Tamandua tetradactyla: one gene and its partners. The protein of the gene in region 4 interacts with the protein of the main gene of each other region in a biochemical or structural test. Links are inferred from orthologs where the notes say so. Each region holds a gene or a part of one and is shown on either strand. Other genes may lie near its edges.

Region 1 (5,245 bases), on a different chromosome or scaffold from region 4:
ATGCCTACGTAACAGCGCCTACTCTGGACCTTATTGGCTGTTTCTGGAGCCAACTTAGGACCAATGAGAGTCTCGCTCCTGACCCCACCCCTAGGAAGGCTTATAAAGGCTTTCTTTTTGCCGCGTTGCTACCACCAATTTTCTGTCTCTTGGTGTGTTTGTGTGTTTAGTTTTGATCTGCCATGTCGGGCCGCGGGAAGCAGGGAGGCAAGGCCCGCGCCAAGGCCAAGTCGCGCTCGTCCCGCGCCGGCCTGCAGTTCCCGGTGGGCCGAGTGCACCGCCTGCTTCGCAAAGGCAACTACGCGGAGCGGGTGGGGGCGGGCGCGCCGGTGTACATGGCGGCGGTGCTCGAATACCTGACGGCCGAGATCCTGGAGCTGGCGGGCAACGCGGCCCGCGACAACAAGAAGACGCGCATCATTCCTCGCCACCTGCAGCTGGCTATCCGCAACGACGAGGAGCTCAACAAACTGTTGGGCAAAGTTACCATCGCGCAGGGCGGCGTCCTGCCCAACATCCAGGCTGTTCTCTTACCAAAGAAAACCGAAAGTCACAAGGCTAAAAGCAAATAATCTGTCGATAACGCCAAAGACCACCAAAGGCTCTTTTTAGAGCCACCCAACTTTTCAGAGGAAAGAGCTAGCGCTACCTGTCATCAGCCCTTCTTTTGCTGTTTAGTTGGCTCTGAAAAGAGCCTTTGGGTGGGGGGCGGTGGCGGCGTCACATCTCGTGGTTACTTACTCTTGCCCGGCTTGTGACTCTCCGTTTTCTTAGGCAACAAGACGGCCTGGATGTTGGGCAGGACGCCGCCCTGCGCGATAGTGACGCCGCCGAGCAGCTTGTTGAGCTCCTCATCATTCCTCACGGCGAGCTGCAGGTGGCGCGGGATGATGCGCGTCTTCTTGTTGTCGCGGGCCGCGTTGCCCGCCAGCTCCAGGATCTCGGCCGTCAGGTACTCGAGCACCGCCGCCATGTACACCGGCGCGCCCGCCCCCACCCGCTCCGCGTAGTTGCCTTTGCGAAGCAGGCGGTGCACTCGGCCCACCGGGAACTGCAGGCCGGCGCGGGACGAGCGCGACTTGGCCTTGGCGCGGGCCTTGCCCCCCTGCTTCCCGCGGCCCGACATTGCAGCTAAAAGCACAGTGGCTGTTTCTATTTCAAGGGCAGGGATGGAGCAGGGAACCCATTTGCTGTGATTTATAAGCGCAGGTCGGGAGCGGAGCGGGGCGGGGGCCCTGATTGATTGGCTGAGCGCGCAGCCGCGTCCGCCGCCAATGGCGAGCGGGCGACAGCCGTGGGCGCCCCGCACCGCGCGCAAGGGACGGGCCTAGCCAGCGCCTACCAATGGCTGGAAGCCACATGAAGGCTCCTTATTTGCATGCTAGGATTTTTAAATAAGGAGGCTTTTAAACAAGGTGCTGTCCTTTTGTCGTGAGTGACAATTCGTAGTTTTTCTCCGGTTTAAGCAGGGAAGTCTTAAGAAGGATCCAGAAGGGATGCAGCGGCCAGCGAGCAGAGGGGCGCCCCCCCACCGTGCGCTGTAAGGCCCGGCGCCGTGCAGCCCTCCGCCCCTGCGCCGCCTCCCGCCCCGCCCTCGGGCTCGGCCCGGCGGCCTCCTTTCCCTCGGGTTCAGCCGCTGACGCGTGGCTTCCCCCGCCCGGGCCGGCCTCAGGCGGCTGGAATATTTCTGTCTTCTTCTTGACCTCCAGGAGGCATCGACACCGTCTGGAAACTTGCTCCCTCAGCTTTCAAAATGTCGCCCTTCCGTTTTTCCTCCTCGGTCTTCGATTTCCCTTGTCCTGCTTCTCGTCCCCAGCCGGTCGCCAAACGCCGCTGTCCAGCCGGGCTCGCGCCGGAGCCCCCTCCTCGTTTTCTTCACGTTCCCTAAGAAACCTTTCCCTCTTCTGTGCTCTCAGCTAACATCCAAATTTGTTTCAGAAGCTAAGACCCTATACCGACCTGCTTCCCGTGTGACCCCACAAGGACCTCGAGCGTGGCCCACCCAGATGACAATTTGTCCGAACCCACCACGCCCTCCTGGCTTCGCCCTCTTTCCCTGAACTGGGCCTGCTGCCTTCCAGGTGCCTAAGTCAGAATCTTAGCTGCTCTTCCGTCATCTCAACAGCATATCGATTCAGTTACTTCCTTCACATCTCGAGCTTTCTTTCCTCCCACGCCTTCCCACCGTCTCTCACCCGGACTTCAGCAGCAGCCCCTGACAGGTGTTGTCTGCAGGCTCTGACGTTTTACCACGGTCTTCCACCTTCCGTAGCAGTGTTCCCTGGAGGCTCCTCAGTTTCTTCCTTCCCCGCTTCCTGTCTCTAGGAGTTCTACCTCTGCCACTCCATTTGCACCCTTTGCAGGAGGCAGAATGCTATGGAGAAAATTACAGACCTAAGCTCTAGTTCCTGAGTCCTTTTCTGACGTTCTCTCTTTCATCCTCACCCTTATTCAGCTGGCACTTACTGAGTGCGTGCCATCTGTCAGCACTGGGTGTATGGGTGTACAGATGGTTGAGACCAGCACGGAGAGAGGTGAGGTGCCTCCAGGAAATGGAGGAAATCTGTTGAGCTCTGGGAGTTAAATCAGTTAGTATTAGCTATCTGTAGAGGTCAATTACCGTAAAAATGCTGGTGTAGGTTTGGCCAAACAAATATGCGGGTGCTTCCTCAACAGTAGACTTGAACTGAAAGTCGTTTTAACCCAATAGGTTGTATTATATCCTTTCAAAAGATGAATGTATTAGTCTAAAGGTGTATGTCCTTAGAATCTTAAGAAAGAACAGTTACAGTAAGAATTTGTCAGTCTCTCCAATATGAAGAGTCCATGTTTGGTAGGTGCAAAGGTTTGGGCTGCTAAAGCAGGTCCTTGGCTGGGAAAGCCTTTTCTCAAAGCCTAGATAAAATATTTCTGAAGACTGTCCAACTCTCTTAGCTCAGATTCTCTACTCAATTGAAAATTTTCTGGTTATTTTATTTCAAGATGAAAATATGATATTCAGAATGGGCAAGCCACCTATGAAAAGATTTATCTGTCATTGGAAGATAATCAGCTTGCATTCTGGGTTATTCAAAAATATCCATCCCCAATAAGTCACCCACCTCTAGATATGCTGATATAATCAACTTTTCAGACCTGCAAGGCTGAGAACCAAACCCAGACCCTTCTACCTGGCTCTTACTAGGATGATTAAACGTTTATGGCATGAATGAATGAAACCATACTTTCAGAGAAATAGTGTCTTCTTTTCAAAAATATCTTTCTTTAGTCAAAAATCACTCTTCAGGGCCACGGTGGCTCAGCAGGCAAGAATGCTTGCCTGCCATGCCAGAGGGCCCAGGTTCAATTCCTGGTGCCTGCCCATGTAAAAAATATATAAATAAATGAATAAATAAATAAAGGGGATGACCCCTGCAGGGGAAAAAAAAATCACTCTTCAATTGAGATGGTATAATCTAGGAATGCCTAGAGTGTATAATAATAGTGAAATGTACAATGTACAAATTTTAAAAATGTTTTTGCATGAGGAAGAACAAAGGAATGTCATTATTGCAGGGTGCTGAAAATAGATGGTAATTATTATTTTTAAATGTCACCTTCTGTGTGAGACTAAAGCAAAGAATGTTTGTTACAAAATTTATATTTTGATTAGAGCATTTCCTAATATAACTTATGTAGATAGTTTGATTGAACGCTGCAAGTACTTGGAATCTCAGGTAGGACATGAGATTTTGCTGGTTTGTCCAGAGTGATGCCCCGATGAATCCCAGAGTGATTCGATCAGTGAGTGGAAAAGTATCTGCAAAGCCCCCTTCAGGGAGTGGTGAGAACTGGGAGAAATTCAACTTCCCCAAGTTGAATTCTTGATATTCTCACAAGCAGTGTGGACAACCAAAGCTATAGGCAGAGCCCCCAGTCTTGGGGTTGGTTCATATGAAACTTAACCCCGCAAAGGATAGGTCAAGTTTACTTAAAATTTAGGCCTAAGAGTCACCCCCAAGAGAGCCTCTTTTGTTGCTCAAATGTGGCCCCTCTCTCCAGACAACAAAACGAGCAGTCTCACCAGCCTCCCCCTGCCTACGTGGGACATGACTCCCAGGGGTGTGGACCTTCCTGGCAACGTGGGACAGAGATCCTGGAATGAGCTGAGACTCAGCATCAAGGGATTGAGAAAAACCCTAGAATGAGCTGAGACTTAGCATCAAGGGATTGAGAAAACCTTCTCAACCGAAAGGGGGAAGAGGGAAATGAGACAAAGTGTCAATGGCTGAGAGATTCCAAACAGAGTTGAGAGGTTATCCTGGAGGTTATTCTTATGCATCAAGTAGATATCATCTTGCTGTTCAAGATGTAATGGAGAGGCTGGAGGGAACTGCCTGAAAATGTAGAGCTGTGTTCCAGTAGCCATGTTTCTTGAAGATGATTGAATAATGATACAGCTGTCACAATGTGACTGTGTGATTGTGAAAACCTTGTGTCTGATGCTCCTTTTATCTACCTTGTCAACAAAGGAGTAGAACATATGGAATAAAAGTAAATAATAGGGGGAACAAATGCTAAAATAAATTTAGTTTGAAATGCTAGTGATCAATGAAAGCAAGGGGTAAGGGGTATGGTAGGTATAATCTTTTTTTTTTCTTTCCTGTGTTCCTTTTATTTCTTTTTCTATTGTCTTTTTATTTCTTTTTCTGAATTAATGCAAATGTTCTAAGAAATGATGAATATGCAACTAAGTGATGATATTGTGAATTACTGATTATGTATGTTGTTTTATTTTGTTTCTTATTTTTTTAATTAATAAATTTTTAAAAAATCACTCTTCAAGTGCTTACTATAAACAGGAGACTGTAGTAGTCAATGATGGAACATAGAAACTCACCAATTAAATAAAATAGTATATCCTAACACAATAAAGTTATTGTTAGAATGAGGATAAATGAAAAGAGCCCGGTTCAGTGCTTGGAATTTGAGCAGGCCCAGTGCTGGATTAGAGTGCAGACTGGCTTTACGGCTGAGAGTCCAACTCTGAAGCCTGACTCTTTGGGTTTCTTTACCAGCTACATAATCATGGGCAAGTTACCTACCCTCTAAGGGGCTCTACTTCTTCATTGGTAAAGTGAGAGTAATAATGCTAGCTACCTCGTAGGATTGTTGTAAGAATTAAAAGGACTCACAAATGTAAAACATTTAGGAGAGTACCTGGCACCAGCAAAGTTGGGGCATCCCCAAAATTCTTTGAATGAAT
Region 2 (7,483 bases), on a different chromosome or scaffold from region 4:
AGTTTGGTACATCAGGCTGAGGTGTTAGATCTTGCTCCCCTGGGCAAAGGGGAGCCACTGAAAGATTGGCAGGAAGTTGAGTGGTGGTTGGTGAGCAAAATGGACCAGAGCAGGGATTTCAGGGATGAGACATGGAGGAGGGAGATGTGGAGGACAGTTTGGAGGCTGCAGCAACAGTTAAAAACTATGAATGAGGAGGGCTTGAATCAAAGCATCACACCTGGGTAATAGAAAAGATATTTAAATACCAAAACGGCCAAACTCTGTGGGTGCCAGGATGCCCCTGGTCAGAAAGTGAGAGGAGAGGAGGAAAACCAAGGCTTTTAGCATGGGAAGGTGGGAAAGGGTGATGAAATAACGTAGGAAAAATTGCAATAAGTCTGGGTGGAGGGAGGATAGGGAAGGTGTTCAGTTTGGGACCTGTCGAGAACTGGGCAAGGTCAGGGATTGGAAGAGAAGACGCCTTGAAAAGAGAATTATTTGAGTCTTCAATTGGGAGGTGAAAGGAAAGACCAGGTTTGTGCTAATAGACTTTAAAAAGAAAAAGTATGTCATTTATTCATTCAACAAACACTTTCGAGCGTTTTCAGATTGCAAGGCAGGTACTCTTCTAGGACCTGGGGATATAGTAGTGAACACAGCAACAGCCCCGTCCTTGTGATACAGGGCCCTGGAGACCACTGCTGATATTAACAGCTCTCATGTTTTCAGCATCAAGTCCTGCATTTAACGCTTTACGTGGATGATCCCATTTAACCCTCATCACTCTAAGACGTATAGGTACTATTACTATCCCCATTTTACAGACGACCAAACAGGCAAAGTGAGGTCAGCTAGGTGCACAGCTAGAAAGAAGCACAGCCAAAGTAAAAACCCAGGCTGTCTCACTCAACCACAAGACTGAGGATAGAACGAAACTAGAGTTGTATGTTACCACTGATATGAAATATCTAGAATAAACTACTTTAGAGAGACAGAAAGTAGATTAGAGATGACTGGGGACTGGTGCAGGGGGTAGAGGGGAATGGGGAGTGATTGCTTAATGGATCCAGAGTCTGTTTGGAGTGATGAGAAAGCTTTGGGATTGGATAGTGGTGATGGCAACACATTATTGTGAACATAATTACTACCATTGAACTGTGTGCTTGACAATGGTTAAAATAGGAAATTTTATGTTATATGTTACCACAATTAAAAAAAAAAATAGAGACCGTAGTTTACAAGGAGATTAGAGTGGAAGCTGAGAAAAGCTTTGTCACCTAAGAAAGTCACAAGCCTCTCTCAGAGTTATTAGTAGGAGTTTCATTTCAAAGTAATTCGGCTACTTAAAATCATGTCCTGCTTTCACCTTCTTGAAAAGCAGTTTTGGCACAGTTAGGCACACACATCCCAGGCCAGGGCGCAGGCAGGTCCTGGGGGGTGGGGGTGGGGGTGGAGGAGGTGGGGGGGCGGGGAGTGGATTCCTAGTTCTTCTCGTTGAGATGTCCACTTGAAATATTTCTTCAGCTTCTTCAATCATCACTCCCCTCCATGGCTCCACTTGAACTCCTCAGCACTGATGGTTTACATCACATCTTCTGCCAACTCATGCAGTTTGTGCTGAAAAAAGAAAAATCTATTTTATAACTCCAAGGACATTAATAATTAACTTCCATACCACAAAACTTGTAATATCAGTTTGCTAAAATAAAGTCACCAGTAAGTATTTAATTCTTCTTTAAAGGGTGTCTTCTATTATTATTTTAGAGTGCAATTTAGTCATCAAAGGTTTACTCAGCCTCATGCTTATAAATTATATAGGGCAGGGATTTAACTCTTCTGGACCTACCTGTTCTGAAGGCCCCAGAGGAGGGTCATAGCTCTCATGTCACCCTAGGCACCTGCCTTGAAAGGAGATGATTTGTGAGCTTCAAGTTCCCTAGCTCTTTCAGAAATCTGGGGCAAATACAGAGATTTCCCTTTATGATGCAATCAGAGGAATAAGCAGATAGTTGTCTGCATGAAGAGGCACTGGCTTTTATCCTCCAGAAAGCTGTTGGGAAACTACAAGTTCATCTTTTTTGAGTTTCAGAATCTTGCCTTGATTATACAATAAGAAGAGTGGCTTTGCAATCCATCTGTGTAATATTTTCATGTGGTGCTTGGTACTGGTTTTTTGAGGGGGAAGGGATACTGCCTTAGATAAATAAGGGCAAAACAGAAAAAAATCTCGGTGTGCTGGCTACCTAAGGTGGAAATCCCAGTTTACCTCGGGATGGAGCGTCCTGACTGCCAGTCAAGGGTGCGTTCAATTCCATCAGGTTTAGGGAACTTGGCCTTGATGGAAAAGTGGAAAACTATGCCACACAACCCTCCAGTCCTAGCATCCCAAGTTTTCTTGCCGTCACCCTTCAGGGTGACGGCAGAAGGGGGCAACAGGTGTCTTTTTTTTTTTGTACCCTCTTTTTTAAACTGCTGAAATTTCCGAAGAGTTAAAGTAATAGCTTTGACCCTCTCGGGTGGAATTGAGGCCTTGGGGCCCCGGGATCCCCGCCAAAGCATGTCCCCCTCCCCCCAGCTGCGGGTCTTCTCAGCCTTGGGCCAAAGTCATCTTCGTGGGCCCCCAACTTCCGGGACCTAGAGGGGACCCTGGCCGAGTCACTTCTTTGGGGGCGAGATGCATTCCAAGAATGCGTCTGTAGGCGACGAGGAGCGAAAACGCAGCGGCAGGAAGTATTCGGAGGAATCCGCAAAGGTACCAGAAGCGCAGGACTCAAAACAGGTGACAACGACAAAAAGTTCGAGGCAGCAAGGGCTCAAGGAGCGCAGGGGCGCGCGCCCACTGCCGGATGCTGGGGCTCCGAGTCTTGCCACAAGCCCCCTCCTTCCTTTTCTTTCCCTGGCTGACACTGGGCGGGGAGCGGCCGCTTTTACGCGCGAGGGGGCTCGGTGGAGAGGGCGGAGCCCCGCTCCGGGCGCCTGAATGTAAACCAAACACCTCGCTAGCCTACGTTTAGCAAGCGATACCCAACACCACACTCACGTAAAAAAAAAAAAAAAAAAAAAGTACTGTTTGCAGAGAAGACGAGGACGAAAACATTTCCCGGCTGGAAAATTACTGATCACAAACTGAGAAAGGGGTGGTGTGTGTATGTGTGTGTGTGTGTAGGGGGTGGAAGGCGACGTTGTAAGTAAGACTGGAATAACGGTCGCCCTTTCCTTTTCTCCTCCCCGTGTGCAGGGACAAGTTGCCGCGAGCTCGGCGAGCCCTTCTCGGGAACCCGGGTCCCACCACGTCGCGCCATTTCCTACCACCGACCACTTTCCAGCCAAACTTGGGCGGGCTCGACCTGTCCAGAGTCTCAGGTGAAGGGAGAGCGTGGCCATTTGACCTTTACCTCGCCATTTCACCTCTTTATGACTCAGTTTTCTCATCCATAAAGCGGAAAGGAGAATGCTGAGCGTGTAGAGTGCTTTGAGATCCTTGGCTGAAAGCTGCCTCCTCGGCCTACAGGCTCCTCTTTGCCCCTACCAAGTAAATCTCGACCCCTTCCACTCCTTCCTCGCTCCTTCAAATCTCAAAATGTCAAAACGACATCTCCGTTTCCCGTTGCGATGTCTTTCGGTCCTTTCCAGGCGCGGAACGCCCCACTGGCCGTTTCGGGTTCCCGGTCTCAGCCACGCAGCTCTGGGCACCCTCCCCCTCCCTTTCAGGGCTCGCGGCTGAAGGCCCGGTGAGGACCCGTGCGAGGCAGACCCAGTGCCCATTCCGGCGCTGCGCTGGGAGAACCGGGCCCCGGCTGGCGGCCGGGAGGAGGGGCCGGATGAGTCACGCGGATAATCGCGTCCTTCTCCAGAGCGTAGACGGTGCAGTGGACGAAGGGTACCGGGCTCGCTACCGAACCCCGACGACCCAGCCTTTCCTGCCAGGGGCTTTGAACCCAGGGAGTCAGCCGCGGGGGCGACGACGGCCCTGATCGCGCGGCCCCGGGACATGTGGGACTGTAACCAGCGTCCCGCGCCCGGGCCGCCGCCGCCGCCGCCACCGCCGGCGTCAGCGCGGCTCCTGCCCGCCAGCTGCCGGGCTGGCGTCACTGCCCGGCCCGGCCCGGCCCCGCCCGCGCCCCTCCCTCCCCCCGCCCCCACGTGCGCCCGAGTTTGTTTATTTAGCTGCCATGACAACGCCGGAGGGGCCGCGGGAGGGAGGGGAGAAGAAAGGGAGGGGCGGGGCCTGGCGGCGGGCCGGGGCGCGCAGCCGGCAGGAGGCGGGGGGGAGGGCGGGAGCGGAGAAGTTATAAGTAAGGAGCGCGCTGCGGCCGCCGGCACTTCCCCGGCCCAAGAGAGCGAGCTCGGCTGCGGGCGCGCGGGGAGCAGAGGAGGAGGCGGGCGGCGGCACCGGGAGCCGCCGAGTGCCCCTCCCCGCCCCCCCTCCGGCCCCCCACCCACTCACCCGCCCAAGGCCCGCGCCCATGGCCGCGCGCGCCCCGCACAGCTACCCGGACTTCGCCGCCCAGCCCGCAGCTACGCGCCACCGCGTCCAATCTCACCTGGTGGCACCGCCCGCCCGCCGCCGCCGCCCCGGCCACAGCCCCTGCGCCCACGGTGACAGCCGCAGCGACAGCGGCGGAGGACGTCACTGAGTCGAGGAGAGCGCAGCCGGGCCACGGGACCTACTTTACTCGCCTTACCGATTGTCTATTTTTTATAAGAGTTTACAACTTTTCTAAGAACTTTTGTATTCAAAGGAAGTCTTAAAAAAAGACATCTCAAATTTATTTAATCCAAAGAAGAAGGATTGCGGGCAACTGGGGATTTGGGGTTTCGGCTTCCTAAATTTTTTTTTTCCCTTTCGTTGACTTTGGGGTTCGGGTGCCCCGCTGCTTCGAGCTCTCGAGGATCTTCTGGGCTCCTACATTAATGAGGTAGGTGCGGGGAGGCTCAGGGCGCTGGGGGTGGGGTGGGGCGAGGGCTAATAGCCTAGGGGACGCGCCGCGACGGCGGCCGAGACAAACCCCCTGCTCTTGCCCTCCGGGCGCACCCCTCCCGGCCCGCAGGCAGCCACCTGGCGAGTCTGACATGGCTGTCAGCGACGCGCTGCTCCCGTCCTTCTCCACGTTCGCGTCCGGCCCGGCGGGAAGGGAGAAGACACTGCGTCCGGCAGGTGCCCCGAATAACGTGAGTGTCTCCCGGGACCTCCGGGAGCGTCGTGGGAGCTTGTGTGTGAGAATGGTGGGGAGGCAGGCAGAGCCCTGGGGTCACCAAGGAGAGGGCTAGGGGTGGCCGCTGCGCGGGCTCCGCAGCCGTCCGGGACGGCCTATGCGCTCTTGGCTCAGTTTTGACTGCGGGTGGTCCGGGCGCTGGGCGGCCGCCGGCGACGCACACCGGGTCGGCACACGTTCCCCTTCGCGCGCGCGGGGCGAGGCGGGAGGGCGCTGAGTCTCCAGACACCGGCTAGTCCCGAGTGAGCTTGGCGCGTAGGCGTCCCAGCGGCGAGGCGGCGCACTGGGAGAGCCTGGTGTCCAATTCCGGGGGTGGCGGGAGCGTCCCCGGCTTCGCGCACAGGAGAGGACCGGAACTTAGTTAGCCCGCCCCGCCCCCCCACAATCACTCTCAAGGACACAAGCAAATACCCCCGACACCGATGCACCCACCTCTTCTCGGATCCGGGTGTGGGAGATTGGAGTTTTGGCGCCCGAAATCCCTGAGCGCTGCCCTGGTGTCTGGACCGTGTAGGCGCGGCGGGCCAGTTTGTCGAGTGGCGCCTAGGGATCGCCACTGACTGGGCTCTCTCCCTCCGTATCTCCGCAGCGCTGGCGCGAGGAGCTCTCGCACATGAAGCGACTTCCCCCGGTGCTACCCGGCCGCCCCTACGACCTGGCGGCTGCGACAGTGGCCGCCGAACTGGAAAGCGGCGGAACCGGCGCGGCTTGTGGCGGCAGCAACCCGGCGCTCCTATCCCGGAGAGAGACGGAGGAGTTCAACGATCTTCTGGACCTGGACTTTATCCTCTCCAACTCGCTGTCCCATCAGGAGTCGGTGGCCGCCACCGTGTCCTCGTCGGCGTCAGCCTCAGCCTCATCCTCGTCCTCCCCGTCGAGCAGCGGCCCGGCCAGCGCACCTTCCACCTGCAGCTTCAGCTACCCTCTACGGGCCGGGGGGGATCCTGGCGTGGCGCCGGGCGGCTCGGGGGGCGGTCTTCTCTATGGCCGAGAGTCGGCGCCCGCTCCCACAGCACCCTTCAACCTGGCGGACATCAACGACGTGAGCCCCTCGGGTGGCTTCGTGGCGGAGCTCCTGCGGCCCGAATTGGATCCAGTGTACATTCCGCCACAACAGCAGCCGGCAGGGGGCGGCCTACTCGGCAAGTTCGTGTTGAAGGCGTCCCTGAACCCCCCTGGCAGCGAGTACGGCAGCCCGGTCATCAGCGTCGGCAAAGGCAGCCCCGACGGCAGCCACCCGGTGGTGGTGGCGCCCTACAGCGGCGGCCCGCCGCGCATGTGCCCCAAGATCAAGCAGGAGGCCGTCTCCTCGTGCACCGTCGGCCGGCCCCTGGAGGCCCACTTGGGCACTGGACCCCCGCTGAGCAACGGCCACCGGCCGCCCCCGCACGAATTCCCTTTGGGGCGGCAGCTCCCCAGCAGGACTACCCCGACCCTGGGTGCTGAGGAACTGCTAAGTAGCAGGGACTGTCACCCCGCCCTGCCTCTCCCCCCGGGCTTCCATCCTCACCCCGGGCCCAACTACCCACCTTTCCTGCCCGAGCAGTTGCAGCCACAGGTCCCACCGCTCCATTACCAAGGTCAGTGCCTGGGATTCATGGTTCGGGCTGGGGAGCGCTGCGTGCACCGGCCCTTCTGGGCGCTTGGGGTGTTGCTGACCCCACCCTCTTCACCCCTAGAGCTCATGCCACCGGGTTCCTGTATGCCGGAGGAGCCCAAGCCAAAGAGGGGGAGAAGGTCGTGGCCCCGGAAAAGGACCGCCACTCACACTTGTGATTATGCGGGCTGCGGGAAAACCTACACAAAGAGCTCTCATCTCAAGGCACACCTGCGTACCCATACAGGTAGGAGGGCAGATGCTCAGGATGGGAGAGGGTCGCTGCCAAGCCCCGTAGGCCAAGTGGACAAATCCCCTGGTCTCCCTTGGGATACGGGCAGTCTTATCTCCTCCATCCCCTGAGACCACAGGGAAGGGAGAGCAAGCTGGCGCCCACTTGTTTGCCCAGAAGCCTTTTTGCTTGTTGGATGGTATCAGGGCTTGAATGTGCAGTTCTGTTGGGCCTTTAAAAGGCAGGGAGATTCCAGCCGGACGTGAGTCTCTTGGCTTGAGCAAAGTGTTGGCCCTTATAATCAAGAAATTATACTTTGCAGTGCACAGGCACGTTGGCTTTTAGAAATTTTCCAGACTATCCTGGCTGGCTGTTTCCTTCCCAGACCCTCACCCTCTCCCCTTTGTAGTATTACTACTGATTTTGGTCTTGATAAAAGTTTTTACTTAAATTTCA
Region 3 (7,630 bases), about 79 Mb from region 4:
TTTCCCCATTCCAAGACTCACCAGCTTCCTCCTCACAATTTGACCTTCAGAGATCCTGGGCAACCACAGGAAAGGAGAATCCTGGTTTCGGTTGGGGGCCCTTCCTGGTGGCCTCGGGGAGCCCTGTGGAGAGAGACGTGACTGCCCTCCCCAGCTGCCCTGTACCAGCTGAGAAGTGTCTGGACGTGGAGCTCTCTCCAAGCCAGTATGTCCTCTTCTGTTTATATAGCAGAAACCAGAGCCGGCCTCTGGGGATGGGGGGGAGCCAACGCGGGGCCCTCTTGGCTAGGGCCTAACTTTGGCCCAGGTCAGCAAGAACTCAAAATAGTCAGCTGACGGGAGCCCCGGTGTGAGCGTGACCCTGGGCCCATGCCCAGGCCTGGCAGACAGGTGCCCACGTCACAAGACCAGCGGCTCAAACACTCCCAGGGCCCCTGCGAGCAGCCCCTTGGGGTGGCCTTGGCAGAGTATCCAGCACGGGAGTTCCATCCAATCACCACCATCACCCAGACAACAGGGTAAACACAAGAAGTTCTGCCCACCCAGTGCTTCTGTGTAGCCGGAGGGAAAGCCAGGAGCTTGGGAATCCAGGTCAGGCCTGGGGGCAGAGGTGGGGGCCAGCGGAGGGAAAGTGCCTGGCCACTGCTGTCATCCTCCCTCACGTGCTCCCCAAGGCCACATCTCTGGCTGACCAGAGACACCTGCCTCTCCCACTGACCGTAATTCCTCTCTCCGCCCTGGCCTGAGGTGGCTGGTGCAGAACCTGCTGCCAGCCAGAGGCCAGGTGCACACCCAGCCCAGCCCCTGGAACAGGAGACCCTGCCTCCCCGCTTCCACCTAGGCTCAGACCGGACACCCTGTCTTCCTCCCTCTGCACATTGAACACCAAGTTCACACGAAGCAACAGTGTTTGGAGGGGTTGGGGGAGGAGATATTGAGCCAGCTCCTGCTTCATCTGGAGGGCTCTCAGTCCTGAGGGCTCTGTTGCTCAGTGATGCTCTTCAGTACAGGGGAAGGAGGAAAGGGACCACAAGGACCCTGTCCAGAGTCCCTGTCCCTGTGCCAGGTTGAATTCCCAGCTCCCTCAGGTGGCCGTCAAGACTCAGTTCCTTTAGCCCCATCTCAGCATCTCAGATCCCCCAAGGAAACAGCAGGTGGACTGTCTCACCCTCACCCTCACCCTCACCGACAGACTAGCTTGCTCCTTCTCTGGAAGCACCCTCAGCAATAAAGATGTGTCCTCCACCATTACACCGGGCTTTCAGGCTGGCCCTGAGACCCAGGACACCTGGATTCTAGGCTGCGCTCTATACATATGCCCTGTGGGACCTTGAAAAGTCCCTTCTCCCCTCTGTAATTCAGTTTCTTCATCTGTAAGAGGAGGGGGTGAGCAAGAGAGCCAAGGATTCCTCTAGCCATAGCCACAAGTCTGGGATTTTCCCTCTCAGGGATGTCGGATGAATAGTGGAGGGTTTGTGCCTGCCCTTTGTTAGCAGCTATGATCCCACCAAGATTCCCCCCATCCATGAGGCCACTTCCTCATACCACGGACTCTGCAGGCCCTATAGTCCTGCCATGATGGGAAGGGGGGACAGTCGGCAATCTTTCTGGGGAGGGGAATCTCAGCCTTCCCTTCATGCACTCCCTCTGGAATGAGGTCTACAACATGGAAACAGGCCAGATGCCCCCACCCCACCCCCACCTCTGCCAGCTTTGCCCTACTACACTCCCAGCCCAGACCCAAGTTCCTCAACCCCATCCCATCAGCTTCTTGGAACCAGGCAGGTGCTATGCTGGGGGCACCTGTCAGGCTCCTCCCTACCACCCGTCTGTGGCACCTGGCCCCAGAGTCCTCCCAGCCTATCCTGCTGAGAAAATCAGGCTTCCCCTTTTCTCGCCCCCATGCACTCCCACCACAGAAGAAATCAGATCTCCTGATGCTGTTTAGCACCGTGCCTGCCACCTCTGCAGGGCTTCCCCCTCCACCCCCCAAACCACATCCACCTCAGGCAGCTCCACACCCACCCCTGCCCCCCAAACCCAACTGCACAGGGGGCCCAAGGGTGTACAAATGACAACAGTAGAGCACTTACCACCCTCAGTGGACCAACAGGCCTTGGCCAACACTCAAACCATCCCTTCGGGGCCTGGCAGGCAGATTCAGGACACCAGGGAGGAGCCGGGGCTAGCCCCTGTGCATGGTGGAGGCCTACGGAAGAGTCAATGTCAGAAAGGAAAAACCACCCATCCAGCAGGCGCATTCCCTGGAGACAGCCCAGCCAGGAAGCACAGGAGCGGGTACAGCAGCAGGACTCAGCCACAGGGGCAGACAAGCCAGCCCGAGGTCCCCGCCTGGGCTAGTTGTCAGGGGCTGGGGGCCCACACTCTGGGAAAAGCGCTCCCGGGATATGAGGTGTGACCAGCTGCTGCTGATGGCACCTGGGGTACCTCAGAGCCATAGATCCTTGCCAGTGCGCAGCCCCTCAGCCTCTTACCCCACTCCTGAGTGAGGGTGCCTCAATCTAGCTCCCAGCCCCGTGGCATGCACAAAAGGGCCTTCTGTAGGCAGAGAAAATGGTGACAGTGTGACGACAGAACAGGACACATCCCTCTCTCCTTCAGGGGCTTTAGCTTGGCCCCCAAAGCCTCAGGGCCTCCAAAGGGCACAGCTCCATGCCCCTGTCTCCTGGCAGCCCAGCCTTCTAACCTCTGTGATGGACTCCAGTCCCCAATGGGAAGGCCTAACTGAGAGCAGAGTGGTTAAGAGCACAGATGCTGGATCCCTGACTGCCTGGGTTGAAATCCCAGCTCCATCTCCTGTAACCTTGGACAAGTTATATAACCACGCTGTGTCTAGGTTCCTCGTGTGTCAAAATGACAATCAGAGAACTGTCGTCAGTCCTAAAGTGAGTTAATATGTGTAAAAGAGTGAGAACAGTACTGAGTACACATATGTGCTATATAAATATTAGCTTCGTGATTAGTATAAATTAAATAAGGACACACAAAAGCTACACCACCAGACCCAGGCTCCCACTGCCAGCCACTCCTGGACACCTGGCCTCTCCATCACGCTTGATGCCAACTGTGTGTCCCACCCCCACCTTCTGCTCACCAGCCAACCCCACAGGCGCCCTACCTCCCTTCCCCTCTTCCCAACCTCATTTAGCCCTCTCCTCTTCCAGATGGGGCCCAGAGTGAGAGCAGGGTAGGCCCAGGATTGGCCCTCACTGTTATCAAGTTGCCTTTCAAGCCAAGATGAAGTTTGTGACAAGGGAAGTAGGTGTTTCCACGATGGGAAGAAGAGGGAGCAAGGCTGAGGGACCCAGAGGGCAGAGGGCAAGCAATGGGCTTCCACCCCCTCCCTACCTCTGCTCCAGGGTCCACAGGCTAAGGGGGACTCCTCTGGCCCGCAGTGCCCATACTTTTCCCCTCACCCTCCATGTCCCTGTGGATGCAGTGGGGAGCAGGGAGTAAAGGCCACCAGAGAAGAGGGAGCAGAGGGCAGTCTAGAACATCTAGAGGGCTTCCAATCCAAACTGAAATCGAAATCACATTTCAGACCTGCCCCAGCCCATGGGCTGCCCTTCCTTCCCAGAATGACAATATCATTCTTCCCCATCCCAATCAGGCCTAGGGGTTCCCCAAACCTTCCCTTTCCTCCCTGCCTGCCTGCAGCTGGAGGAGAAGGGAGCAGGTCGGGGACAGCCAGACCCAACCTGAGAGCTCAGGTCTCCATCATGTGTATCTGAGAACAGTGCCTAGAAAGTGATTCAAAACCTCTTAGCACGACCACCTGATACCATCTCCTGCCACAGATCAAAATTTCCTTCCCAACAGTCATTCCACAAGCATTTATTGAGAACCTACTGTGAACCAGGCAGGGTGCCATGAACAGTAGGAAATCTAAGAAGATCAAATTACCTCTACCCTAGGGGGGACAGGCATAGAATAAACCAAGATCAGTTATAATCAATACTGTACAGAGGGTAGACTGAAAACTGGAGGAGGAGAAAGCGATGCCCCCAAAATGGGATGAGAGTCCCCTCATCACCTTATCTCCTCTCCACTCACTGTGCTCTAGTCACATGGGCTTTTTTTCCTACCTCAGGACCTTTGCACAAGCTCTTCCCTCTGCCAAGAAAACCACTGTTCCAATGTCTGCATGACTGGCTCCATCAGGTTCCTATTCCCATTTCACTATATTAAGAAGCCTTACCTCCTACCCTATTAATCATTTTTATTTTTCCCATAGGACTAATGTTTATTTGTTCACTTATTTATCCTCTGTCTCCTGAACTAGAAGGTAAATAAGAACCTGTCTGTCTCAATCACCACGGAGTCTTTGGTCTCTAAAGGAGAGCTCAGGATGGATAGGTGCTCAGTCAATAGCAGTGTAAATGGGGGCAGGAGCCACAAACACCTGTACTGGAGCCAGGCTGGGAGGACAGTTGGCCAGCCATCTGCAAAGTGGTGGGGAAGTCATTCCCACTAAGAAACCTCCTGTGCACAGCTCACAAAGCTGTCCTTTCCACTTTGGGGCAGATCGGAGGGTTCTTCCCTCTGCTGGGTCACAGCCCCAATTCCAAAGCCCCCAGCCCCAAATCCCAGTTTTGCCCCCTGCATGGGCCCAGCCAGAACCTCCTTCATTTTCTTCCTATCAAGAACTTATTTGAGTCTTTTCTTATCTAAACTCCAACTCCCACTCACAACAGGGTAGACCTTCTGCAGCCCTGGTGGACTTCTGGACACGATCTCTGCATTGGTCAATGTCCCCACCTAGAAATGACAATACTATTATTATGAACAATTATAACAGCAGCTGATATTGTCAAATACCATGTGCTAGAAACAATGCTAAGCACTTTACATGCATTTTTTTCATTTCAGTCTCACAATGTTGAGGAATGGATTATCATTATACACATTTTATCGATGAGGAAACTAAGGCACAGAAATGTTAAGCAACTTGCCTGACGTCACATAGCTAGGAACTGGCAAAGCTGGGATTAGAACCCAGGGAGCCCGACAGAGGATGCCAGGGCCAGGTACTGCCCGGCCACCACCACCACCAGTGTACCCAGTAGAGGCTTCAGTTTGATAGTGCCCACCCACGGAACTGGTAGGAACTCGGGCCCTGCGGTGCTGAACAGTTGAGCCAGGCCTCCCATCAGGCCTGCACTCCTGAGCTGATTTTCTGAACTCCTGCCCAGGCCCAAATATTTAGCATCAGTCACATTCATCTTGTTAATTCTGGCCCATTTTCATGCGGTAATTCAGAATCTTGATTTTATCCTACTGTACACTCGTCATTCCTCTCAGCTCTGGGTCATACAAAAGTTGGCTGGCTTCCTAAGACCTCTTACCCCAAGTCACTGATCTAAATATTCACTTGTAGTGGGTCTAGGACCAAGCCTGTGGCCACCCTGTTCAGGTTGATTTCAGTCTCCTAATCCATCAGCATCCTTAGCTTATAACTGATCTGAATCTACCCACCTCTGCCCAGTCTGCATTTTCCCAACATGCCCATAATACCAGCCCCCAAACCCAGATTAACACTCCACTGTAAACGGGACGTGCCTCTTCTGCAACATTTCTCTCTGCCCACCAAGCCACCTATTAAAAACGGAGGCGTAACGGGGATTTGAAGTCAAGGACCGGTGCCTTTGCCTCAACACACTGCAACCTTTGCCTAGAAGCGCCGCTCGAACCCCCAAGTATAGGTCGGGAGGGAGGTTGCTGCAGAAAAAAGCGCTGCCCTGGGAGATGCCGGACCCGAGTCCGAATCCCAAATTCGCTCCTGACTCCATAAGACCCTCTTCAGCCTGGGTGTCCTGACTCAGTCCCACGAAGGAGCTGTCCGGGACAATTCCGGTCCCTCCCGTCTCGGCCTCCTGGCAGCCGAGCTCCCGACCTCCTGGAACCCGTTCTCCACGGCCGACGGGGAAATGGAAGGAATTTCTCCCGCCTGGCCATCTCCAGCGCCCCTCGTGAGCCAAACCCCACCCTTGGCGGGCTAGGGAGAGAAAGCCTTGGCCGTCGCACTTGAGAACTGACTCGGAGCCAGCAAGTTCCGCTGGGAATCCAGCCCCCCAGTGCAGCCCCGGTTCCCGGCTTCCAAGCAAGACTCCCAGCGTGGCCCCAAGCCCACCCCGGCGCATCCGCACAGACCTCCCGATGCTCCCTCTGCTACCACTTTATCCCTTTCCAAGCTGTCCCCCTCACCTTGCAGGGCGAGCTCCGCTCGCCTCTCCACCCCCGCTTTCCGGGGTCGCGCACCAGCTTGCCGGGAGCTGCTCTGCACTGCAGGGGCGCCCATCCCGGGAGGCCGGGGGTCGCGCGCACCACGCTGGGGCCCCCACCAGTTCCGCTGCCGCCGCTTGGCGCTCCTACAACCGCGCCGCAGCCTCTCGGCGCCCCCCGCCCCCGGGAAGCCCCCCGCCCAGCAGTTCCGGCCGCCGCCGCGCTCCCCGCCCCCGCAGCCGGCGGCCGCCCGCGCCGCAGTCCCAGCCTCGGCGCGCCTTCCCCCCGGCGGGCGGGCGGGCGGGGACCGTGACGCGCGCCCATTGACGTCTCCGGAATCCCGGCGGCGGCGGCCGACGCAGCCTCATCAATGGGGCTAAAAATAGAGGCGCCCGGAATAGCCGCGAGCGCCCCGCCCCGCGGCACCCCCCACCCCAACACACACACATTGCACACGCTGTTACATAACCCGGCTCGCTGCGGCCGGGGGGCGGGGTAGGGGAGGCTGTTTTTCAAGTGAGGGTTCTGAGGCCTTGCTAACATCTCCCGAGGCAGCTGAACCCCGAGCCGAGCCGGGGTATAAATAAAGTTACCCAAATAAACTTACCTGGGGCGTCCCCTGAGGAAGAAGTGGAAAAAATGAGTCCCAGAGAAGCTCCGCGGCGGCCCAAAGTCACACAGCAAATTGACTGGCTTGAGAGGATAGAACCTCAACCTCTGAGCCCTGGGCACACCCACCAATGTCTCTTAGCCTGCCTGTCACCCCAAGAGCAAAGAACCCAGCTAGCAGGGCACCCAGCTCCCAGGCAAGAAGGTAGCTAAAGAAAAAGGGGACTTCCTGGGAAGGCGAAATTTCCCCTTAACAGAAGTAGTCCCAGATGTGGGAACGCTAGTAAGGGCAAGGCCTAGGAGGTGAAGTCACTGATCTGGCTTCTCCTACTGTCTGTAAGTAGAGCAAGTCCCTTAACTTCTCTGAGCCTCACTCAGTCTCCTTACCCATGAAATGGGGATGATAATATTATCCACCTTTTCTGGTTACTGGGAGGATTGAACAACTGCAGAGATAGATGCTTTTTACATGGTAAGTACTCAGGGTTAGCTACTCCCTCCTTGCTGTCCCCTTGGCATCTGACTTCCCACAAAGCACAGGAGTGTTCAGTGCAGGAAATGCACAGAGTACCCTGACAAAAGGGCTGGGAAGCCCACCTCCACTGACCATAGTCTCCAGGCACAGTCACTTCCAATAAGAACCTTTCTCAGGGTGGAGGTGCTTGGAAGGTTTCTCTCTCCCACCTGACTGGAGCACTTTTTGGAAATGGGAGAGCTGTCTCATCCTGTGCAAAGCCTTTCCTCCCATCGGGGGCCTGCTCAGGAATGGCTGGTCAGG
Region 4 (7,380 bases):
ACGAAGAGCCTGGAAATTTAGAAACCGAGAACACTAATTTGTTTTATAACCCTCTAGCATATCAGCCCAAATGGATTCCAGTTTTCTTTCCTATAAAATTGGCTAACTCAACACACTAGATAGATACATTTACACTAGGAAAAGTGTAAGCCTTAATCACAAAAAAGTTTCTGGGGAACAACTTTCTTTCAGTTTATGAAAAATCCAAGTGACAACTTAAAAGTCAAAATGTAAAAGTTTGAAATTTAACTCAAAAGGTGAAAAAGGTTTATTAAAACTTGTCTATAAATTTTTATTACACATTGCTTGATGTAAAAATAAATATATCAAAATGTAATGGTGCCCAACTTGAATTAAGTTCACAGAGGAATAATATTTTAATACCCACCTCTCACTGAACAAAAAACTCAGACTGGATAGGATTAAAAATTGTACTCAAAATAATTCCTGAAGTATAATTATCACAATGGGTGGGTGGGGAGTTAATTATTTCTAGTAAAACAGTTTTTGTATATTAGACAGGAGAGAGATTACCAAGATGAGTTCAACATCACCAACTACACAGTTTAGATATAAAGGATGCACTAGTGCATCTGAAAAAAAGTATCTGGAACAACAGAACATATCCTACCTTTCAGGTCTTGCATTACTCCAAGACTCAGTTGTTCAAACAAGGACTGATCAAAGTAAAGGACATTAAAAAGTTTCCTCTACAATATTCCAAGTCACAAGCTAACTCAAAAGTAAAATCTACCACCACATTAGAAAAAACTAAAAAACAAAGTCACTCGGAGAGACAGCGCAAAACCCTACTGGCAAAAGTATGTCTAAAGGTAACTAAAAATTCTTCTGAATGACACTTTAGTAAACAAAAAAAGACAACTAAAAATATATCTGAAGACCACAGAAACTTCAAGGAATGAAGACAGACCAAAGTTCAGGCACAGGCAATGTTAACAAGCCTTAGGCTTGTTACACGGAGGAACTGCATAATTATTCTTAATTTTTGCAGATTATCTTAAACTGCAAGACGATACATCTTTCTTACAAGTGCAAAGAAATTCAAAAGATTTCCCACATCCTCACATTTTAACCCTTTGAAATGAAGCCCCCTAAGAGAAACATGTTCTAGAAGTTCTCTACAAACTCAAAGGGTACATTTAACTCCATTATACACTCTCACTGGCAGATGGGGGATGACGTTGAGCCTGTTTTCAGTGAGTAAAAGAGATGCTCGGTAGTAAGGGGGAACATCTTGAAGACTGTCAGATGGCCAGCCATTCTTCCTCTTCATTATCCTGCATCTCAAACTACAACAGTTACTTAGGAGGTCGGTGGCCATCAGGATAGCACCATTAAACTAACTGTAAGAAGGGAAAGAAAGGAAAGATGTAAGAAGTCTCCCTACATTTCTCCTGACAAAAGGGCCAGTCCACAACTGAGTCAAGTAAAGAAATTTGTAGAGCTTTTTAACTGAAAATCCAAACATTTAAAGCACAAAAACGAAAAACAAAACAGAACAAAAGCACAACCAAGAAACCAAACGAAAATTTTTAACTTTTGCACATCAGTTCAGTTTACTAGAGACTGGGACTCTTTCAACTTCTATCCTTAATTTCCAGGTACATAACTCCACAAAATCGCTTATTTATTTCTTCTTTCCCCCCCAACGAGAAAGTAAATACAAAGTGCAAAGAAAATGCTTCTGCCTCTCTCCCATCCTGAAAACCCAGAGTTTCAGACATTTTGGTCTCGCAGCAAAGAAATGGAAGATGTACAATGCAATGCGCTCCATATTGATTCTTAAAGCAAGTAATAAAAATAATAAAAGAACGGCAAGAAAATAATTTTGACAAACCTCACGTCAAACCTGATATCCTGGATTCACACAAACAAAACGAAAAATACAAAAATGTTAATGCTCTAACCCTCAACAGGAAATCTTGAAAAGAAAGAGTGGAAAGTAGAGGAGACGGAATGAGTGCAATCGAGGAGAAAGGATTCGCAATTCCTCGTTCACCACCACCAACAAAAAGATAAAACTAAAATCCATAAAAAGCTCTTACACACAAATGCACTAGCATTTCCAAAATAAAACTGCATGGGAGCAACAATAAAAGCTACACTTCTGAGCTCTAATTCCAGGACACACATCGATATGTCAGTGTTGCAACGAATGTACTAGGAGGCAAAGAAAATGGTTGGGCTGCTGGACGTCTTCGACCAGCTCATTCAAACACCTTTAAAAGGAATTTGAGTTAAGACATAGGCAACCAGAAAGAAGAGAAAAAGAGAAAAAAAGAAAAGCTGGCATAATAAAGATGCAAACAGCAGAAAAGACTAAGGGGAATGTGGGAGGCCGGGACTCCCCGAGACTAACCTGTGCCATCGCTGGCCGAAGCCGAGAGGGCCGGAGATGAGAGTTTAGGCCGCTTGGCTGAAGGCGGCCCCGGTTCCACCACATTCTCGGCCATTTTTAATTCTTTCGGAGATACAGGCGAGGAAAACGACATTCCTCGGGAAATCTCTTCTTCGGCCCGGGGCCCCCTCCCCACTCCCTGGGGTGGGCTTCGGGGGCTCCGCCGGCACCCGAAAGGGGGTGGGAGAAGTTCCTTTTTCTCTTCGCCGGGTCGCGGTAGCTGAAGAGGGATGCGGACTCGATAGAAAAGGTAGGGGCAAAAGCGAGGGGCCGAGCCAGAGCCCAGGCCCGGATGAGGGCACAGGAACACAAATCCGCCGAGCGCGTCCCCGCGGTAAATTCCCGAGAACTCGCGGCTCTAGAGGCGCAGTCCTCGGCCCGCCACGGCCAGCCCCTGCCCTGCCGAGGTCTCTCGGAGCTCCGCCGCCGCCGCCATCAGCCTCTTCCTCCTCTGCGCTGTCCTCCTCCTTCTCATCGCCACAAGGAGGCGGGGGCGAAAAGGGGGGAGAGGAGGAGGCGACGAGAGACTCTCACCTCCTCCCGGTGCCCCCTCCCGGGCCTGCGCCCCCACCCTCCGAGCCCTCCTCCTGCCGCCGCACTCCGCGCCGCCGCCGCCGCACCGGCCCCTAATGGCCGCACGGAGCCCGCCCGAGCCGAAAAGTCAGGCTGGCGCCGCCGCCTCACATCGCGCGGCGAGCGCCCGCGGCCCGGGGCAGCAGAGGCGCGGCGAGAACGCGGGGCACCGAGCTCGCCGGCTCCGAGGCCGAGGGGGCCGGGCCGAGCAGCGCCGCCCGCCCGCGCCGACGCCGAGCCCACCGACGAGGCCCCGCTCCGGCGGGCGGCGCAGGCGGCCTCTCCTCGCGCCGCGCTCTTCTCTTCGCCCTCCCCTCCCGCGGAAGATAAATAAATACGGCCGCCGCTACGGCTCCCACCCCCGGCGGCCAGGGGCCGGGAGCTCCCGCCCCCCGGGGCTCCGCTCGGGGCCGCCCTCGACGGCGGGTAAAGGCGCCGCGGGGCGCGGGGTTATGTAATGGTACCCCCTAGGCGTCGACGCCGGCCAGGCTCCCGGGCTCGGTGGGGGTGTGTGCGGACGGGAGAGAGCTGGGGGTCGCCTCAGCCCGTGCGCCCCAGGCCCCCTGCCTCTGTCTCGGCCCCAGGCGCCTCTCTCCAGCCCGGCTCCCCTCCGCACTCTCTTTCTCCCGCAACTCGCACTCAGCCCGGCGTCCCGCTTGCCCACTCTAGCCCGCTCCCTCTCGCCCTCTCTCCCCCCCAGCCTAACACACAAACAAGATGGCGGCTGTTGTTTCTTCCCTCTGCCGAATCCTCCTTACAGGCTAGCGGTAGCAGCGGCGGCCGGAAATGAGCCAAGGGGGGGGGTGAAAAAAAGGGGAGGGGCTGGGCCCAGGGAGGGAGGTGGCGAGGGGGCGGGGCATGGGCCCGAGCCGCTCACACAATGGGGGAACAGGGGCCGAGGGCGGGGCGGGTTCCAATCACGGGACCCGCCCAGGGCCCCAACGCGCTGGGCGCTTCCGCAAACTCCCCAGGCGTCACCCGGTGGCTCCCTTTAAAGGGGAGGATTTTAAGGGAGGGGAGGATTTTAAGGGGGAGGGAGGGTGTGGGCTTGGGATCTGTTTTCAGTCGGTGGACACTTACGGGGGAAGTTGCCTGGGTTGGGTCTGTGCGTAGGGAACCGGTGGGAAGCGAGGCTGACGGAATTCCGAGCTGCGCCGGGGAAGGCGCCAAGTCTCCGCGCAGGTTCCCGAGTGGGAGCGCTCGTGGGGATGACCCTGCATCCCCGGCCCTTAGCGGCCAGCCCTCCGAAACCCTGCTGAACCCACATCTGCCGCCGGGCATTCGGGGCCAGAGACCCAGTGCGTCCTGACCCTTCTCTAAGGCAGCGGAGTGGTTCACTTCCCTAAATCACACTAGTACCGAGTTGTTTCCATTTGTTCGGTAGTCCCAATTTTTTTGACAGGATGTATTATTTCGATAGTCAGAAAACAAAAATCACAGCAGTGGAAGGTTATTTTAGGACTAGATCCAAATACATTTCTTGCCCACCACGTGTCCACACGCCCCTTACGAGGTGGCACTCTGGCTAAGGGAGGCTTGACTTATTTTCCTAAACGCGCGTGGGACCTGAAAGCATTTTAGGGAATTTATTAAAACCCACCTCCTAGGCTGGCTTAATAAAAGACCAAATCCGACTTAGGCAGTGCCTTAAAGAAAATATAATTATAGAAAAGGAGCAAAAACGTCACGATGTGCTGAAGATAATGTAAGGACGAAAGAAAGTAAAAATGTAACGATGGGGGAAAATGGCTTCATAGGTGTAAAGAAAAGTGCAAGTGTGTGTGACTGAATGCTTATATTCGAAGGAAAGCTGCGAGAACTGTTTCACCTGCCTACCGGTTGCAGGATTCCCCTGTATTTGCCCTTGATACTGGAGGTAGCCAGGTGGTAAGAGGCCTCCCAAACACCCCCAAACCAGTACCAGTCGCCTAAAAAGCATTTCCACATCGCACATCATGCTCCTCAGTTGGGGTGTGTTTGTTGTTAGCTTTACTTTATGTTTTGTTTTTGTCTTTTTTTTCAATGAATGATGGGGAGAATAAATAGCCTAGGACAGAAAACTCAAAGGAAGCAGCTCCTGTTGCCAACAAGGGTGAACTATGTGGTGTGATCTTCAAGCACACATCACCCAAACTGCAGCGGGAAAGCAGGCCAATTGAAAAGGACAGGAGCCTCCTTGTCTTAAAAGTTGTTACAGGAAGGATTCAAGGTGTAAGGCTAAGGTCGAGATTGGCCTTCCAGAATGATTGGGTTATTCTACATGGTTTATGCCCACATTAATAGCGGAGAGGAGACAGGAAAGAAATGTGAACACTTAAGAAACCTGGGCTGTGATTTCCTTATGGAAGGTTTCCGTGCCTTTTTTTTTTTTGAAGAATTTCTAACCTTAGGAAAGCAATTTGCCTAGTTTGCAGAGGATCCAGCTTGATGTATGTATAAGCAGCATTCAAACACACTCGGCCCTCCTGGCCAGTCATGGGATTCGATACCATAAACCCATTGAAGGAGATCTGAGGAATATCCAGAGAGAAAATTCTGCAAAAAGAAGGGGTCAGGGGCGATGGACCTGCCCAGAAGGGAATGTTCTGTTGTAAACGGGGTCTTCAGGTGCAGGATGCCTCTTCCTGGGATTTGCTTCTCTGACCCTTGCCCCAGGACCAAGCTGAAGTGGTTGAGGAAATAAGGATCACACAAATGCAATCAAGGGTAGACTTGATGGTTTCAACAAAGCAGAATTAAACCATCAGCTTGGATTATTTGTAATCTAATCTAATTAAAATCCAAACAATCGTGGAGTCCCATGAGTGGATTAAGAATGGCTTCAGGATTAACCTTGGGTTAGTGGAAGAAGCAGGGAAGTTTAGAGCCTACACAGCCAGAGATCTTTGGAGATGAAGAAGGAAAACGCCCCCGAGGGAGCTTCATGAAACAAAAAGCCTGGAGAGAAATTTTACAGACATCACCATGTTTGCCACATGCCTTTCCAGTTGAGAGAGAAACCGTGAACTTCGTTGGCCTTTCTTGAGTGAAGGTAGTCTCTTGTTGCCTTAATTTGGACATATTTATAGACTTGGTTTAATTGGGACATTTTCATAGCCTTAGAACTGTAAACTAGCAACTTATTAAATTCCCCTTTTTAAAAAGCCAAGAAAAAAAAAAGAAGAAGAAGAATGGCTTCAGGAAGGAATTGTCTTCCCTGTAACTAACCCAAAAAGTTCAAATGAATCCAGTAGCTGGGGGACACACGAGACAGCAGCAGCTGGCAGGTAAGAGCAGGGGCACAGAAGTCGAATGGGACCTGGGCAGGCTCATCATCTGTAAAATGAGTTTCATGATTAGACCTACTTTATTGTTGTGAAGAGTAAACACAGTCATTTAGAAATAATGCTGATCACAAGGTCTGGCACAAAGTAAGCACGCAATACGTTAGGTGTTACTAGTCATTCAATCTAAAATGGAAAGGATCGTACCTAACCCAAAGAGTTACTAGGAGAATTAAAATGAGGTGAATACATGTGAGATGTTTGTGCATGGAACCTGGCAGATGCTTATTGGGCTGTCATACTTGGCCTCTCACCAATCAGGATATTGAAATTTCTCCTGGGTCCATCCAACTCCCTTTAAGAAATTCTCTGTTCACCGTTCAACCTTCTGTTGACTCATCCAGCTTCCACGGTGCCCTGATTACCAGAGAGGAGACCTGGATAGGGGGCACAAGAATTGCAGTGGAAAGAAGCTGCCCTCGTGGTCTCAGGTCACTTCTGCAAACGTGAATGCAAACAGGATTGTTGAAGTGGCTACACATACACCACAAGGAAATACTGATTTATTTTGATCTATACCAAAATGTTGTTGGTGTTTGCAGAACCATAGTTACATTTTTATTTATATCTTACGTTTACTAAAATGTGTCCTTGAAGAAAAAATTTTAATAGCCAATATTGGCAAAATAAAATTGGTGCTTTCATACATGGTATGAATAAAACATGATACCAACTTCTAAGTTCATACCAAAATTGATAGCCTTTAAAAACCCCAGAATCTCTAGGATACATCCGAACAGTGCACAGAGAGGTACATGAGAATGTTCCCTACAGCACTGGGATAGCTTTCCTCCTCAAGGCACACAGACACACACACAAAAAGAAAACAAACCAAGAGTTCACCTGTAGGAAATGGTTAAAAGAACTTTGGAGTAGCCTTGATTCTGGAAGACTATTGTTTAAAAACAGAACTTTTACAATGTGACTGTGAGCTTGTAGAAACCTTGTGGCTGATGCTCCTTTTTATCCAGGGTATGGACAGATGAGTAAAAAAAATATGGATAAAAAATAAATAATGGGGGCTAAAATAAATTGGGTAGATGGAAATACTAGCGGTCAATGAGA

What was found.
Region 1: of the proteins of EP300 (region 4) and histone H2A type 2-B, one has a biochemical effect on the other in vitro, tested with the Homo sapiens proteins (2 studies listed by BioGRID). The link is inferred for Tamandua tetradactyla from reciprocal best matches to the Homo sapiens genes EP300 and H2AC21.
Region 2: the proteins of EP300 (region 4) and KLF4 form a complex in vitro, tested with the Homo sapiens proteins (2 studies listed by BioGRID). The link is inferred for Tamandua tetradactyla from reciprocal best matches to the Homo sapiens genes EP300 and KLF4.
Region 3: the proteins of EP300 (region 4) and NR4A1 form a complex in vitro, tested with the Homo sapiens proteins (2 studies listed by BioGRID, with this or other methods). The link is inferred for Tamandua tetradactyla from reciprocal best matches to the Homo sapiens genes EP300 and NR4A1.

Annotation. Positions count from the first base shown.
Region 1 is NC_135330.1:5,943,776-5,949,020, reverse strand, and holds histone H2A type 2-B, read right to left. Parts: upstream 1,158-5,245; 5' UTR 1,127-1,157; coding exon 734-1,126; 3' UTR 573-733; downstream 1-572. Other genes in the region: H2AC20 (histone H2A type 2-C), read left to right, coding at 183-572. UniProt on the Homo sapiens protein: Core component of nucleosome. Nucleosomes wrap and compact DNA into chromatin, limiting DNA accessibility to the cellular machineries which require DNA as a template.
Region 2 is NC_135328.1:26,489,048-26,496,530, reverse strand, and holds the start of KLF4 (Krueppel-like factor 4), read left to right. Parts: upstream 1-4,464; 5' UTR 4,465-4,896; coding exon 4,897-4,901; intron 4,902-5,033; coding exon 5,034-5,154; intron 5,155-5,787; coding exon 5,788-7,042; intron 7,043-7,483. UniProt on the Homo sapiens protein: Transcription factor; can act both as activator and as repressor. Binds the 5'-CACCC-3' core sequence. Binds to the promoter region of its own gene and can activate its own transcription.
Region 3 is NC_135333.1:113,415,418-113,423,047, reverse strand, and holds the start of NR4A1 (nuclear receptor subfamily 4immunitygroup A member 1), read right to left. Parts: upstream 3,012-7,630; 5' UTR 2,094-3,011; intron 476-2,093; exon of another isoform or gene 124-475; 5' UTR 22-123; intron 1-21. UniProt on the Homo sapiens protein: Orphan nuclear receptor. Binds the NGFI-B response element (NBRE) 5'-AAAGGTCA-3'. Binds 9-cis-retinoic acid outside of its ligand-binding (NR LBD) domain.
Region 4 is NC_135333.1:34,212,034-34,219,413, reverse strand, and holds the start of EP300 (histone acetyltransferase p300), read right to left. Parts: upstream 3,013-7,380; 5' UTR 2,514-3,012; coding exon 2,381-2,513; intron 1-2,380. UniProt on the Homo sapiens protein: Functions as a histone acetyltransferase and regulates transcription via chromatin remodeling. Acetylates all four core histones in nucleosomes. Histone acetylation gives an epigenetic tag for transcriptional activation.